4 linked regions of the Macaca fascicularis genome follow. The protein of the gene in region 2 interacts with the protein of the main gene of each other region in a biochemical or structural test. Links are inferred from orthologs where the notes say so. Each region holds a gene or a part of one and is shown on either strand. Other genes may lie near its edges. The genes, in order: ACVRL1, SMAD1, SMURF2 and MAPK1.

The links.
Region 1: of the proteins of SMAD1 (region 2) and ACVRL1, one has a biochemical effect on the other in vitro, tested with the Homo sapiens proteins (2 studies listed by BioGRID). The link is inferred for Macaca fascicularis from reciprocal best matches to the Homo sapiens genes SMAD1 and ACVRL1.
Region 3: the proteins of SMAD1 (region 2) and SMURF2 form a complex in vitro, tested with the Homo sapiens proteins (2 studies listed by BioGRID and IntAct, with this or other methods). The link is inferred for Macaca fascicularis from reciprocal best matches to the Homo sapiens genes SMAD1 and SMURF2.
Region 4: of the proteins of SMAD1 (region 2) and MAPK1, one has a biochemical effect on the other in vitro, tested with the Homo sapiens proteins (3 studies listed by BioGRID). The link is inferred for Macaca fascicularis from reciprocal best matches to the Homo sapiens genes SMAD1 and MAPK1.

Annotation. Positions count from the first base shown.
Region 1 is NC_088385.1:58,748,168-58,752,467, reverse strand, and holds the start of ACVRL1 (activin receptor type-1-like), read right to left. Parts: upstream 2,855-4,300; 5' UTR 2,660-2,854; coding exon 2,272-2,659; intron 2,070-2,271; coding exon 1,858-2,069; intron 1,656-1,857; coding exon 1,556-1,655; intron 1,194-1,555; coding exon 1,047-1,193; intron 446-1,046; coding exon 170-445; intron 1-169. UniProt on the Homo sapiens protein: Type I receptor for TGF-beta family ligands BMP9/GDF2 and BMP10 and important regulator of normal blood vessel development. On ligand binding, forms a receptor complex consisting of two type II and two type I transmembrane serine/threonine kinases.
Region 2 is NC_088379.1:150,367,308-150,371,589, reverse strand, and holds the start of SMAD1 (mothers against decapentaplegic homolog 1), read right to left. Parts: upstream 2,820-4,282; 5' UTR 2,763-2,819; intron 2,659-2,762; exon of another isoform or gene 2,461-2,658; intron 1,721-2,460; exon of another isoform or gene 1,320-1,720; intron 1-1,319. UniProt on the Homo sapiens protein: Transcriptional modulator that plays a role in various cellular processes, including embryonic development, cell differentiation, and tissue homeostasis.
Region 3 is NC_088390.1:71,142,374-71,145,935, reverse strand, and holds part of SMURF2 (E3 ubiquitin-protein ligase SMURF2), read left to right. Parts: intron 1-501; coding exon 502-622; intron 623-3,562. UniProt on the Homo sapiens protein: E3 ubiquitin-protein ligase which accepts ubiquitin from an E2 ubiquitin-conjugating enzyme in the form of a thioester and then directly transfers the ubiquitin to targeted substrates.
Region 4 is NC_088384.1:31,317,783-31,321,344, reverse strand, and holds part of MAPK1 (mitogen-activated protein kinase 1), read right to left. Parts: intron 3,505-3,562; coding exon 3,322-3,504; intron 1,389-3,321; coding exon 1,199-1,388; intron 1-1,198. UniProt on the Homo sapiens protein: Serine/threonine kinase which acts as an essential component of the MAP kinase signal transduction pathway. MAPK1/ERK2 and MAPK3/ERK1 are the 2 MAPKs which play an important role in the MAPK/ERK cascade.

The sequences.
Region 1 (4,300 bases), on a different chromosome or scaffold from region 2:
TTTGAAAAGGGTGTTCAGACAACTCATGCGGTCTTGCAGAGGAGAACTGAGACAACATGCACCTCTGTTTTCAAGCGCCAATCATGGTCACCGCCCATAGGCAAAGGAGAGGAGAGAGCACGGGCTGTGCCCACCTGTGAAGGGTCTGCCCCTGCCCTGCCCAGCTCACCCAGGTCAGCAATGCAACACTGCAGGTTGCTCTTGACCAGCACGTTGCGGCTCTTGAAGTCACGGTGGGCAATGGCCGGTTTGCCCTGTGTACCGAAGATCTCCACGTGCAGGTGTGCCAGGCCACAGGCTGCGGACACAGCTAGCCTCAGAGCCAAATGCGGCTCCAGCGTCTGTCTCTGCAGAAAGTCGTAGAGGGAGCCGTGCTCGTGGTAATGCGTGATGAGCCACAGCTGCGTGCTCGAGTTGCGGGAGGTCATGTCTGAGGCGATGAAGCCTGTGCACAGAAGGGTCGGGTGACTCAGCCAAGGGGCTGGGGCTAAGGGAGGCTGGAGTGGTCAGGGTCAGGGTGGGGTCGGGGGAGAGGGAATGGGCTGGGTCACTGCTAAGCAAGGTCTGGGGTGGGGGTTGATGTGGCTTAGGTCAGAGACAGAGCTGGAGTCAGAGGTTGGGTCTGGGCCTGGCTTAGTGGCTTGCACCTGTAACCCCAACACTTTGGGAGGCCAAGGCAGGAGGATTGCTTGAGCCCAGGAATTTGAGACCAGTCTGGGCAACATAGGGAGACCTCGTCTCTACAAAAAATAAAAAAGTTAGCTGGGCATGGTGGCACATGCCTGTGGTCCCAGCTACTCAAGAGGCTGAAGTGGGAGGATCGCTTGAGCTCAAGAGATTGAGGTTCCAGTGAGATTGCACAACTGCATCCCAGCCTGGGTGACAGAGCGAGGCCCTGTCTCAAAAAAAAAAAAAAAAAGAGGTTGGTGCTGCAGGTGGGCTGGGAGTCCTTCAGGGTTCTGTTAATGTCTGGAGGTCTGTGAATTCGAGCCCTGAGTGCAGGAGGGCAAAGCCCCAGGCCTGGCACAGCCGGCCCCTCCCCTTGCCTAGGATGTTGTCGTGTCTGAGCAACACTGTGTTGTAGATCTCAGTCTCCCGGAACCAGGACTGTTCGTCCCTCGAGGAGAAGATCTTGACGGCCACACTCTCACCGTGCCACAAGCCCCGCCACACTTCGCCATAGCGGCCTTTTCCTGATGGCCAGAGGGGAAGGTGAGGGTTACACACTGGGCACACAGAGCCCTGGAGGAGCCCCTCATCTTGATGCTGTGCTGCCTCCCTCGCCCACCCCACCCACAGAACCCCTGACCCTTAGGTTTAAGTTAATCCAGACCCAAACCCAGCGGCAGGCCACCCCCAGCTGCCTCTCGTTCCACCCCGGTCCTGCAGAAAGAACCTAGCCCTGGCCCGTCTCCAGCCCACTCCCTGCCCAGCAGAATTCCAGTTCTGACCCAGGCCTGGCACTGCCTGTGATTCCGGAAGCCAAGAACTCCCTCACCCCTCAAGGCTCATGAGAGCCCTTGGTCCTCATCCACCGGGCTCACCCACTGCTCACCCACACACTCCACCAAGGCAACCTGCCGTGCCACTGTCCTCTGCACCAGGAAGGGGAGCCCCGAGCCACTCCCTGTGGTGCAGTCACTGTCCAGGAGGTCCTGGGGGTATGGAGAGGCCACTCAAAAGCTGCCCTAACCAGCCGCAGCCCCATTCTCCATCCTCAACCTGGGACCTGCTGGGTCACTGCAAGCTCCTCACTCGCCCAGCTCCCCACCGGCTCTACTCTCTGGATGACCCCTCTGATTCCGCAGTTGCTATCTGCCCCACTCCACCCTGTGTCCCAGGTCCCCAGGCCCGTACCCCCAACATGCTGTCGCCCTGCTCAGATGCTTTCAGGATGAGACTGGACTCTCCCAGCTCGCTGTGCAGGCCCCGCTGCTTCTCCTGCCTCCGTCGGACATGCCACAGGCCCACGACACCCAGGGCCACCAGGGCCAGCAAGGCCAGCACGGGGCCCAGGATCAGGGCCAGCTGGCTGTCTGTTCCCGGCTGCTCCGAAGGAGTTTGGGTGGCTGGGGGAGGGGACATTGAGGCTCAGCTTGCACTAGGTCAACTTCCCCCACCTTGGGCAGACCATTCTGCCAGTTAAATCCCAGAGTCTTGCCCGTCCCCCCGCCCCCAGCCCCTTTATTGGCCAGAGCATGAGAGGAAAGGAGGGAAGGGAGGGCAGGGGCCGAGAAGATGGGGAGGGAGTGCTGGGGCAGCTGGACGTACCCTCCAGCACCAGGGACACGTTGCGGTTGCAGAGGTGGCTGTCACAGCAGTAGTGGTTGACGAACTCGGTGGGGCGCCCCCTGCAGAGCTCCCTGTGCAAGTTCCCGCAGCCCCGATGTTCCTGGGGGTGCCTCCCCTCCTCCCGCACCAGCACTACTGTGCACCAGGCCCCCTGGCAGGTAGGCCCCCTGCAATGTGGGCTCTCACATGTGCAGGTCACCAGCGGGCCCCGAGAGGGCTTCACGGGGTCACCTGGGAGACACACCGGAAGCTCAGCCACTCTGGGCCCAGCTCCCCCAGGCTGAGCCTGACACCCATTTCTGTCCCATTGTCCCTCTCGTCTGACCCCCCAGACAAACACCTTGAAGCTTTGGTCCCTTACTTCCATCCTCAGTCATCCTTCCCTCAGAGCCCTCCCCTCAGGGCAGCTGACACTGAGAAGCAGGCTTCTGTCCCCTCCTGGCTCCTAGGTTCTCCCCTCCCAGTTCTAGGCTGGGCTGCGCCCCCAGCCCCAGTCCTGAGAGCGCTCCCAGGCTTGGCCTGCCAACACCTGCTCTCCCTCCGCCCCACATATAGGCTTCCACCCTAGCCTGACAGAGCTCCAGCCTGCAGGTCTGGACCCAGAGGAGAGCAAAGGAGGGCTGGGGTAACTGGGGGCTGAGTTTAATGGAGCCTCACTCTCCTCTATTCTCCAGTCAAGCTCCTAAATTCTCCCCAGTTTCTCAAGTTCAGCCCCAGGCAGAGCTGATCTGGGCCCAGATAGCCCTTTCTCTATCCAGGTTCCTGTTTCCTAACTGCTCCCCCAGTACTCACCCTGGGTCACCAAGGCCATCAGCAGCATCAGAAGGCCTCTCCTCGGGGAGCCCAAGGTCATGGTCCCTGCAGAGAGGAGCAAGAGAGGTGGAGTAAGAGCTGCAAAATGTGACAGCCGCCAGCTGTGGCTCCCTCCCGCCCAGAGGAAATCACAGAGAGTTTTTTTTGGAGGGGAGGCAGGGAGGCCGCCTCCCTACTCCCTGCCGCCTAGCTTTGGGGCGGGGCCTGCAAGGGAAGTCCTGGTTCACTTCCCCATGGAAACCATCCTGTTAGAGGTGAAGGGTGGAGAGCCATGTTTAAGTGACCGAGAGCTTGGGGAAACCCTAGCTCTGCACCCCTGCTGCTGAGCTCAGACTGGAGGCAGGTTGGGAGAGGCGCAGGGAGCACCCAGTTGGGGTAGAAGGAGCATCTCTCCAGCAGCTCCCCTTCTGTTCTGTGTCTCTTTCCCACACCCTCACAGCCTTCACCCCTGCCTACCCTTTCCCAGTGCCCCCCCAGCCCTGGCTGCCTCAAACATAAACAGGCTCCTGTCTTCACTTCCTGCCATTCAGGGTCCTGCCAAGCCAGGAACAGGAATCAAGATTGTTTAGATTGGGGTCTGGATAGAACAGGCAGGAGTCACGCACAGCAGGGATCTAAGGGCATATTTTCAGGGTGGGCTGCAGCAGCCATAGGGTCTGGAGAGGCTATTTAAATATGCCCTTAGTTCCTTGCTACCCTTAGTTCCTTGTGCCTGGGACACCCACATGACAGAATTCTAGGTGGATCACAAAATCCAGCTCCTTGTTTTACAGAAGAAAGGATTAAGGCTTATACAGGGAAGAAGACTTGTCCCGGGTCAGACAGGACTCACTGGCACCAGCAGGAGTACAACCCAGGCTTCCAGACTCCTAGTCAAGTGCTCTCCCCACACTGTCCCTATCCAGTGGTGGCAGCCCATGTCTGAGCCCTCAGGCTGTAACAACCACGCAAAGCTTGGATGGCGCCGGGTCATGCCAGGTGTAGAGGAACCTCTCTGCAAGCTCACCAGAGTATAAGCTGCCCTCTCAGAGTCATTCCCTGGCCCCCTTCTCTCCCCTTGCCATCTAGGAAAGGGTGGGTGGAGGGCCAGTGATGTGGCAGGGGAAGTGAAACACACTTAGACACTGAATGTTTGACCTTCCATGGCTGACTAGGGTTGAACTTTTTCAGAAGTTTGTTGAAGAGTGTCAGGGGG
Region 2 (4,282 bases):
AGCTACCCCTGTAATATGGTTTAATTATGATGACTGAACTAATAGGCTGACATCATAGACTTTTACAGGCTGACCCCATGTCATCCTGATGTATCATTTTGCACCAGTTCAGTGCTGTAAATCAATTTAAGATCTCAAGCAGGTTGAAAAGGCTGGTAATGATGCTTTCTCTGCTGTCTCTGGAGACTCTACATTATACCCAACTTACATTATTTATAAAGCCTCAGTGATGCCTCCATTAGCCTTGTAAGACTACACAAATGAGATCTTTTATACACACACACACTTGGCCTTGATTATGTAGGCTACTGCAGCTTAAACATGCTTGTCTAATTACACCCAAGTTACTTCTTTTTCCAATCCACTAAGTTATTAGATTTTATCTTTAACCCAGAATTGCTAGAAATCAAAATTACAAAGTGAAATTTAGTTTTTAACTAATAAATGTAATCAACGTAGTTGAGAAAATGTGACTTACTTCCTCTTAATGCCTTAATGAACTTAGTAGAAATAAAATTAAATTCCAAGAAGTGTAAGACGTCAATGTCTCTAATTGCCTAAAAACTGTCATTTTTCTAAAACACAAAGGTCATCAGCTCTTCAAGGATATGAAATCAAAGGATACTGCAAGGGGTAAAATGTATTTGGTTACATACCTATGGTTGTAGGGGTCAAAACTAAATCAAGGACAAATCCCTACCCTCAGAAGAAACCTGATCCTGCCTGGATCCTCTAGAGGCTCTGGCATCACCCATCTTCAGAAAAATCATCTCTCACGACCCTAGTTACACTTTCCTAAGAACTGCAGTATTACACCAATGATACACCACCTGCACAGAAATATCAAATAACTGCAAATAGGAAAGAGAGTGGGAGAGGGCAGAACAAACACTTTAATCAGTACAGCATATTTAGATCTGGCACCTACATCAGAATAACACTGATGCAACAATATTTACACCAATTGAAAATGCTGGGGCAGTGAACACTTCTGCCCCGATTCTTCTTTAATACAGCTCACCCACCTTCAGTACAATTTAAAGTAATTACAAACAAGATGAAAAATCAACATGGGCAGGGAACAGTTTTCTCATTGTGTTACCGAGGTGTGGGCAAGTTATCCACAACAGACAATTAGACCCAGAGATGTTCTGAAATAAAGGCATTCTGAGATTTAGCCGCTGAGAGTTGCAGCAACAGGAAGACATAACAGAAATCATGCAACTTCTTTATCATTCCACGTACTTTGAAACTTCAGATACAATGGAAAGAAAAGAGGGGGGAGGGCAGAGAAAAAGGACAGTTGTCTCAGCACTCACGAAAACGATGCTTTCTCAGGAGATGGTTGAGACCGGCCTCAATTTTCAGAAGGAACGAGCCTTTACTGGTTATCTTGCACCGTGTATTTAAAAATTGCATGCGCTTCAAAATAAACAAAAGCTCAGCTACTGTAGTTGTGAGATCTGGCAGGCATTTGTTCCTCCTCCCCTCCTAAAGCACATCAAGGAAACGTTCTCCCTTTAAAGCCTTCATACAGCTTCAGCAACTAGAAAAACAAGCCCACGTCTGTCTCTCACGCCCACCACCCCCACCTTCCTACAGAAACAACCCCGAGAAACACTAACAAAGACAGAGAGCAGAGTAAAGGAACAGTTGTTCAACCGCGAACTCACGAATACACATGCAGTGAGGCAATCGACTCCGGTAAAGGGAAAGGAATGAGACACCAGGAGACGCAGCGGGTGTAGGCGGAAGAGGGGGAAAAAATTACGCGCCGCCGCCAAACCTTTGAATAAATTAGAGGGGATTTCGGTGCGAACTTTCCTTGACCTCGACCCCAAAGAGGCTCGCTGGGGCCGAGAAGGAAACCCGTGCGGGATGTGGAGGGGCCCGGGCCGCCGGGGTCCCCCGCCCGCGAGACCCGCTCCACCAGGCGCCTTGGAGGGCAGCGCAGGCGGTCGTCCTCCAGCTCCCTCAGGAGTCGCCCCGCCGGCGCGGGGGACACAATGGGTCCGCGGGCCGCGCGAACGGGCCTCGGCCCGGCTGCCGCACGGGAGAGATGTGAGGAGCGCGCGGAGGGGGAGCGCGGCCGGGGAGGTCCCAGCGCGGTCGGGCCCGAGGGCCGAGGCTTGGGGGCCCGGGAACTGGGCTTCCCACGGCAGACGACCCAACAAAGACACCAGGGGTGCCCGGCGGGCTGGGCACGAGAAGAAGACGCGGTGGCAGGTTCGCTCCTCAGAGCGGCAGGGAGGCGCCATCATGGGGGGTGGGGGGTTCGCGGCCCGCCCGGCGCAGAAAGAGCCCCCTCCCCGCCGCCGCCCGCGCCCCCAGCCCAGCACGACCGCGGTGGCCCCACGCGTGCAGAGGCGACGGCGGCGGCGCTGGAAAGCCTGGGGCGCCGAGGGGAGGGCGGCGACGCGGCATGAAGGGAAAGTTGGGTTTGGGTCTGTTTCGTTTTACCGGGTTAGCGGCGCGCCAGTCCGCGCGGGCGCACGAGTGGCCGGGCGAGCGGGGTCCCGCGGCCCGGGTCTGGCCGGCCGGGCGCTGCGCCGCGCTCCGCTCCCAGGGTCCCTCCCCGAGCCTCGGCCCGGGTTGAGCCGTTCGGCCTCTCCTTTCTCCGCCCGCCCGCCTGCTCTCTCCTGGAGCCTGGATTGATCTGGTCGCGCTGGCGTCAGGGAGTCGGAGCCGCCCAGCCTCCACTCCTCGGCTGCCAATACCCGGCGCACTCGCCTGCCCGCCCGCCCGCTCGCTCACACGCTCACCCGCTCACCCGCGCGCCGCCGCCGCTGCCGCGCGACCAGGGATCCTCTCCAAATTCCCGGCCCGACCGGCGTGAGCGCAGCACGGCCGGGGCCGGAGGACGGCGCGGGGGAGCGGCCGGAGCCACCCCCTTCTACCCGCAGCCCCACGTCCCGTTTATTCCTGGAGAAAAAACAGTGTCGCGGAGTTCAGGCTTTCCTAACCCTGCCTTTTTAGTCCCGGTGGAGTGGACTTGGTCCATTATCTGCAAGTGAATTTCGATACTCCATGTTTTTATTTTCTGAAATGTTCATTAATGCTTCCACCGCGCCCACCGAATCGTTCTATAAACGTGGAGTGCCTGTTGACAGTTATCCTTGGAGACGCGCCCTTTTATGTCTAGTTTTCGTTGCCCCTCACGCACTCTCCAATAATTTGCACGCCCCAGAAGTTGTACGTACCCAGAATTGGATAGCCTAGTAACTACTGCACGTGCTTATACAAACCCTGAGTCAACAGATGCGTTTTATGTCAACTCAGGATCCAGTGATTCGAGTAGGTAACCTTGTTGCTCTAAATGACATGCCACAAGGAGATACTGCTTTAACACTCCACATTTTTGGTCCAATTTTTACAGTCTTTTAGATGATGCCAACTCCTTCGCACTTAACTCTTACCAACCTGATCTGCATAGACACTGAAAATATCTTCTAAGAGTCAACTTTTCTCTTGGCTAACTCTTGAAACTGCATAAAATCTTGGATAATTACTATAATGTTGAGTTACAGTTAGACAAGAATGATTTTTTTGAGGAATAAATTTCACATGAAGCAAAAAAATAAAAATAAAAAATAAAAAATAAAAAAAATCACTCCCAGCAGTCAGAATATGCCTTCTAATTAAATTCCTTTTTCCCTTAACCTATTTGAGCACTTACTGGTCAATTCGTGGGCCTCATCTTATTTTCCCTAAAAGCAGCGTTTGACGCAGTTGATCATCCTTTGCTCCTTAGAACAACAGGAAAGTGAACCTTGTTAAATGCCACTCAGATCAGGCCACTCCCCTATTGAAAACCCTCCCTTGATAAATAGTATAAAGTATCCCATACAAGAGAACATTATTCAGCCATAAAAAGAAATGAAGTACTGATACTGATGCATGCTACATGGATAACCTTTCAAAACATGTGAAGTGGAAGAAGACAGACCACACGTTGTATTCTTCCACATATGTGAAATGCTCAGAGTAGGCAAGGCTATGGAGACAGAAAGTAGTTTGGTGGTTTGCATAGGGTTGGGGAAATGAGGAACCTGAGGAGTGACTGCTAAAGGTTATGGGGTGACAAAATTGTTCTAAAACTAGTTTCTGGTGATGGTTGCGCAACTCTGTGGATATATCAAAAACCTTTAAATTGTACACTTTAAATGGGTCAATCATTTGGTATGTGAATTTCACCTCAAGCTATTAAAAAAAAGTATGACAATGAAATGCAGTATATGACCTTGATTGGATCCTGAATGGGGAGGGGGAGCTATAAACTGTC
Region 3 (3,562 bases), on a different chromosome or scaffold from region 2:
ACTTGCTATTGGCTTTTACTGTTTCTTCTCATTTTTGGTTTGAGGATTATCTACCTCCTCTTCTCCCACAGACCTCCCTCAAATAGAAACAAAACACCCAACACATTCAAATTACATTTACAAGTAAAATCAGAAAAAATAGTCATTTTTGAGTGAAAGAGCTCTTTATTCTAGTTATTGGCATGTATGCTGTAAGTTTAGAAAGAAATTTCATCAAGACTCAAGTAGACGTCCTGTTTCCTGGGAGCTTCTCTGATTCGAAGGGTTGCTCTGCTGATGCTGCTGCTGTTAGTAGAAGTTTACCACTTTTCATCAACACTGAACTGTGTCACACCTCAGGGATCATTTATCCCCATTAGTCTGAGATTTATTTTTAGACTTTAGGCTAAATTATTAATGTTAGATGCTTGTAAAATGCAATGTTGCTAAAGTAGAGATTTATAATAATTACCAGATCTGAAAATATATGTGATTATACCCAATCCTGCCTAATGTTTACAGGCTCTATGTGAACTGGAGATTTTTACGAGGCATTGAGGCTCAATTCCTGGCTCTGCAGAAAGGATTTAATGAAGTAATTCCACAACATTTGCTGAAGACATTTGATGAGAAGGAGTTAGAGGTTAGTGCATTAGTAGTATAACATCACTAGTATAACAAGAAAGGATTGGGAATTATTTTGTTACTTAATTTTATAGGAAAGTCATATTTCTGGTACTTTCTAAGTTTCATGGTTCTATGCTTGAGAATTCTTATTCACAGGAAAAGTCTTTCATGCTTTTGAAGGCCTTTCATCCTTTGGAATTTCTGTGAGTGAACAATCTCTCTCCTCTCCTCTCCTCTCCTCCCCTCTCCCCTCTCCCCTCTCCCCTCTCCCCTCTCCCCTCTCCCCTCTCCCCTCTCCCCTCTCCCCTCTCCCCTCTCCCCTCTCCCCTCTCCCCTCATTTTTTCTGAGACAGGGTCTCACTCCGTCACCCAGGCTGGGGTGCAGTGGTGCAGTCATGGCTCACTGCAGCCTTGGCCTCGTGGGCTCAAATGATCCTTCCACCTCAGCCCCCCAAGTAGCTGGGACTACAAGCATGCACCAGCACGCCTGGCTAATTTTCTTGTTTTTTTTTTTTTTTTTTTTTTTTTGGTAGAGACAAGGTTTTGCCATGTTTCCCAGGCTGATCTCAAACTCCTGAGCTCAAGTGATCTGCCTGCCTTGGCCTCCCAAAGTGCTAGGATTATAGGCTTGAGCCACCATGCCCGGCTTGAGCAATCTCTCTTATATTGTGAACATTTAAAATTTATTTTTCTATCCTGTACTTTCTTATTTTAAACAGATTTCATGACTTATATGTACATTCTTCCAATATATATTTATTCCTTAACTTAGTAGTTACTGATTTAGTTAAGTAAAACCTCATTAATCTACCATATTGAAATTAATTTGGGTAAGAGCCTACTCTCAGTTGGTTTTACACTAAGCTTGCAAGAAAGCATTTGATAGACAAGATCACTGAGAAAATAACTAAAACACCTAGGAGAAATTGTATCTTTTTTTTTGAGACAGAATCGCCCAGGCTGGAGAGCAGTGGCATGATCTAGGCTCACTGCAACCTCCACCTCCTGGGTTCAAGTGATTCTCCTGCCTCAGCCTCCCAAGTAGCTGGGACTACAGGCACCCGCAACCACGCCCGGCTGATTTTTATATTAGTAGAAACAGGGTTTCACCACATTGGCCAGGCTGGTCTGGGACTCCTGACCTCAAATGATCCACCCACTCTGGCCTTCCAAAGTGCTCAGATTACAGGTGTAAGCCACCGTACCTGGCCTCTAAATGTCTTTAGATTAACAGCCATACAAAACAGTTAATAGTTTTTTGTTTCCTTTTAAAGCTGTCCCTTAAACACCTCAGGTCTGGTTTTGTAATTAAGACCTTTGACAAATACATCTGAATTTCCTACTGAACTACTAAGAAACATGAGGTTTAATTCTATTCAGGCTCCCACATTTATTTAGTAGTTAGGGATAACACAAATATTTGAAGTCTACTAATAATTTGAAACATGATTTTATTCACTGCCTTCAATGTCCTTTCTAACTAAATCTGTTAATAGACCTGTTAGCAAACAAATCTAAAAAGGTTGGTCTTACTTAATACTCTCCCCATTCCTTTTGTGATTGAATTGTTCATAGTAAAATAGCCAGAAGGAAGTAGTTGGAGGAGAACGCAGCAGGAATGCCGATAAGGTTGCAATATAATGCATTTTCATCTCTTTACACAATAAACAAGGATTTGGCCTTCTAACTGCCATTCCTCTGAGGAAAAGAATTTAGGAGGAGTCTTTTATGTCATTAAACACACCCATAATCCTTTTCGGATAACCTCCTCCCTGTTCAGTGTGGTGTTAACTCAGTGAACCCTGTAGAAGCTTTGTTGGAGATTTTATTTCAGAACCCTATGGAAGCCTTACTGGAGACTTTATTTGGTAGGGTTAGGGTTTTGAATATAGTTTCTACTGCTAATGAGTCATTATACTTTTTCTTTTTCTTTTTTTTTTTTTTTTTTTGTGGAGACAGAATCTCACTCTGTCGCCCAGGCTGGAGTGCAGTGGCGCAATCTCTGCTTACCGCAACCTCCGCCTCCCGGGTTCAAGCGATTCTCCTGCCTCAGTCTCCCGAGTAACTGGAACTTCAGGTGTGCACGACCATGCCTGGCTAATTTTTGTAGTTTTAGTAGAGAGGGGGTTTCACCATGTTGCCCAGGCCGGTCTCAAACTCCTGAGCTCAGGCAGTCCACCTGCCTCTGCCTCCCAAAGTGTTAGGATTACAGGCATGAGCCATCGCACCGGGCCTGAATCATTAAACTTTGTATTTTTATTTTTGAGATAGAGTCTCACTCTGTTGCCCAGGCTGGAGTGCAGTAGCATGATCCTAGCTCACGGTTAACTCCTATGCTGAAGTGATCCTCCCACCTCAGCCTCCCCGGTAACTGGGACTACAGGTGTGCACCACCACACCTGGCTAACAGTTTTTTGGGGTTTTTGTTTTTTTTTTTTTTTTTGGAGAGACAGTCTTACTTTGTCCCCCAGGCTGACAGGATCTCGGCTCCCTACAACCTCCACTTCCCAGGTTCAAGTATTCTCAAGCCTTGGGATTACAGGTGCTCACCACCACGCCCGGCTACCTTTTTGTATTTTTAGTAGATACAGGGTTTCACCATGTTGGCCAGGCTGGTCTTGAACTCCTGACCTCAAGTGATCTGCATGCCTTGTCCCCCCAAAGTGCTGGGCTTACAGGCGTGAGCCACCACACCCTACCCATTTTTAAAGACGATATGTATAACATTTATTTTAGTGGTGTATACATTAATCTTGGGTTTAATTAATTCTATAAAATCTAGGATTTGCAAGTTATGTTTTATAGTACACATGGAATTCGCTATTATAAACATGTTAGATTAGTATGGTGAGTTAGTCTTGGACCCTAGGGAGATGTATTAGTAATATCAAAATGATTTGGATATAGTTCATCTGTGTGACCCTCCCATCAGGATGTGTTTAGCAGAGGTCTGTAT
Region 4 (3,562 bases), on a different chromosome or scaffold from region 2:
GATCAGCCTGTCAATTTCTATAGAAAAAAAACAGCTGGGGCTTTGATAGGGATTACACTAAATCTGCAGATCAATTTGGAGAATACTGCCATCTTAACAGTATTAAGTCTTATGATCCACGGACATGGGATATCTTCCCATTTATTTAGGTCTTCTTGAATTCCTGTGCATTTTTTTAGACTGAATCGACATCGCTCTATCACATCTAAGATATCCATAAATTTCCCTCCTTGTTTACCTGCGACTCCCATTAAAATAGAAATATGTAAATGCTGCACATTTTCAGGAGAACTCTGAGGACTGTAAAGAATTTGAGGTTTTCTTATTTAGTTGGAATGCCATATTAGGTATTAAAGTCAGTGAGGTTAAGTTTCATGCTGCTATCTTTTGAATAAAATGTATTGAACAAAAATGTTACCAACGAAACAGATGATTTTAAAACTAATACATAATGTACATGATCCTGTTTACCTACATAAAGTATAAAAGTACACATGTATGTAAGAGCATAGAAAATACTTTGGGAGAAAATACACCAATTTGTTTTTTGTTTGTTTTTTGAGGACGGAGTTTTGCTCTGTCACTCAGGCTGGTGTGCAGTGGTGTGATCTCGGCTCCCTGCAACCTCCGCTTCCCAGGTTCAAGCGGTTCTCCTGCCTCAGTTCCCATGTAGCTGGGATTACAGGCGCGTGCCACCATGCCCAGCTGATTTTTGTATTTTTAGTAGAAATGGGGTTTCGCTATGTTGGCCAGGCTGGTCTCGAACTCCTGACCTCAGGTGCTCCACCCACCTCGGCCTCCCAAGGTGCTAGGATTACAGGTGTGAGCCACTGCAACCGGCCACCAATTTGTTACAGTAGTTAGTTATCTTGGCCTGGTGCTGTGGCCCATGTATGTAATCCCAGCACTCTGGGAGGCCGAGAAAGGAGGACTGCTTGAGCCCAGGAGTTCAGACCAGGCTGGGCAACATACTAAGACTCTATCTTAAAAAAAAAAAAGAAAAAAAAAAGTATCTCTGGGGAAAAAGGAGCAATGGGATAAGGAAGAAGAGGACTATCACTCTACTAGCATTTTTGCCATAAAAATGTTTTTGGGCATTTCTGGTGTCATTTAAAATACGATAATGACAAATATAACTACGCTTCAGTGAAAGAGTTTTTCAATATATATCAGCTTAATAGTTAATAACCTGGCTGACCTTGAGATCACAGGTGGTGTTGAGCAGCAGGTTGGAAGGCTTGAGGTCACGGTGCAGAACGTTAGCTGAATGGATATATTTTAACCCTCTGAGGATCTGGTAAAGAAAATAGCAGATATGGTCGTTGCTGAGGTGTTGTGTCTTCAAGAGCTTGTAAAGATCTGTTTCCATGAGGTCTTGTACTATATATCTGTTTGCAAAGGTTAAGTAAAACACCAATTAGCTGGTCATATTTAGCAAAGCGTTGAAAACAAAAATGCGTCCTCTCTTGACTCTCTTCCCAAACAGTCCATTATTACACTATGAGGCCCTTAAAGGAAAGAAAAACCTGAGGAAAACTTGGTTTCTTTCATGGAAGGAACCTGAAGTCGTTAACTTCTTTTCGGTCCTGTGAGATGGCAAGAATTACGGCATTACATCTGACTGATGCAGCTATGGGCCTAGACTGAGATCTGAAACAGGCTGTTACAGAAATTCTGGTCAATCTTCAAGTCTCAACCTCTTTGTTCTCTAAATTGTCCACCATCAACGAACCCCCTCCAAGGTTTGTTGGAAATACTGGTGGCCTGTAAGTAGCACATATTCCCTCCTCTGTTTGGTCCAGTAACCTGTAATGTCACTATTCTTTTTCCTTTTTGTTGCCGCTCCCCTCCTTTCCCAAGTTCCTCAAAAGCCAAACATAAAACTTCCAGAAATACAGGTCTAGAAACATACCCTTACTAGTAAATCCAACCCTAAGTCTATCTATTTTCTTACTCTCCCATAACTGTTAAGATCCTAAATAAATAAGACTATGGGCAAGTCGTGCTAAGAAGGGGTTTGTGCGTGTTTTGCTCCTCTTGCTTTCTTGCCTGGTCACTTATTTAACTACCTAAAACTTCAGCTATGGCTACTTTCTTTCTTTCTTTTTTTTTTTTTTTTTTTTTTTGAGACGGAGTCTCACGCTGTTGCCCAGGCTGGAGTGCAGTGGCGTGATCTCGGCTCACTGCAAGCTCCGCCTCCTGGGTTCACGCCATTCTCCTGCCTCAGCCTCCTGAGTAGCTAGGACTACAGGCGCCCGCCACCGCGCCCGGCTAATTTTTTGTATTTTTAGTAGACACGGGGTTTCACTGTGGTCTCGATCTCCTGACCTTGTGATCCGCCCGCCTCGGCCTCCCAAAGTGCTGGGATTACAGGCTTGAGCCACCGCGCCCGGCTGGCTACTTTCTTTCTAACAGAAATTAAATTATTAAAGCATTTAGCCTTTAACTTCATCATAGTATTATTTCATTAGCAGTATTTCTGCATTTTTTTTTACTCTCTCTGTGTAAATAATATTCTCCGTTTCTTACAGATTTATGCTAGAGGCGGCGCAGCATGGGATTCAAAGGAAACATGATTTTAAAATCTGTCATTTGAGAGAGGCTTATTTTCATGGCAAAAGTAAAGTAGGACCAACAGGTGGTAGTGGCAGGAGGCATTTCACTTCAAATATCACTACAACTTATTAACAGAGCTGTTTAAAAATGGAAAGGCTGCCTAGAGACAGCGAGCTCCCGCACCCTGGAGGGTGGAATACAAATTGGGTAAACTGATAGGAGTGCTGTATAACCCTCTCCCTTCTGGCAGATCCTCTTCAGTATACTTAACCTCTCTATCTTTCAAATGGAGTCTTTGCCCAGGCAGCATCCTCTAGACCTATTCAGTCCAGATATCTAAATGTTGGTCATAGTTAATCACATAATTTCAGAGCCCAGTTGACCTTAAAGATCATGACAACTAGTTCCTTCATTTTAAAGGAGGGGAAACTGAGACCTAAAGTGGTGACCTGATTCTAAGATCAGGACAGTCCTAATTTCACCCGGTAGATAGCCAGGGCACCCTCTTTCTTAGTCTACTACTGATCTTCCCTTTACCTTTTCATCATCACAACAAACCATCTCTTAGACAGAAAAAAACATGACTGCAAATGGAGTTAACCAAGATTTTCCATGACTAGACTTAGGGAGTAAATAGCAAACAGATTACGATTTTCCCTTTAGCATGTTTAAAGCACTTTTCCTTTAAGTTTAGGAAATTTCAAGTTCTATTTACTCAACAAAGTTACCAAGCAGTGGAATTGGCTAGTTGCCTAAAAAGGATACACATCTTTCATTTGCTCGATGGTTGGTGCTCGAATAATGTCATTGATTCCAATGATGTTCTCATGTCTGAAGCGCAGTAAGATTTTTATCTCCCGCAGGGTTCTCTGGCAGTAGGTCTGGTGCTCAAAGGGGCTGATTTTCTTGATAGCTACTCGAACTTTGTTGACATTATCATAAGCAGAGCTTAAAAGAGAGAGAAAGACAGATGGCATTAAAAACAGCCCTCAGAATAGTTGAAGAA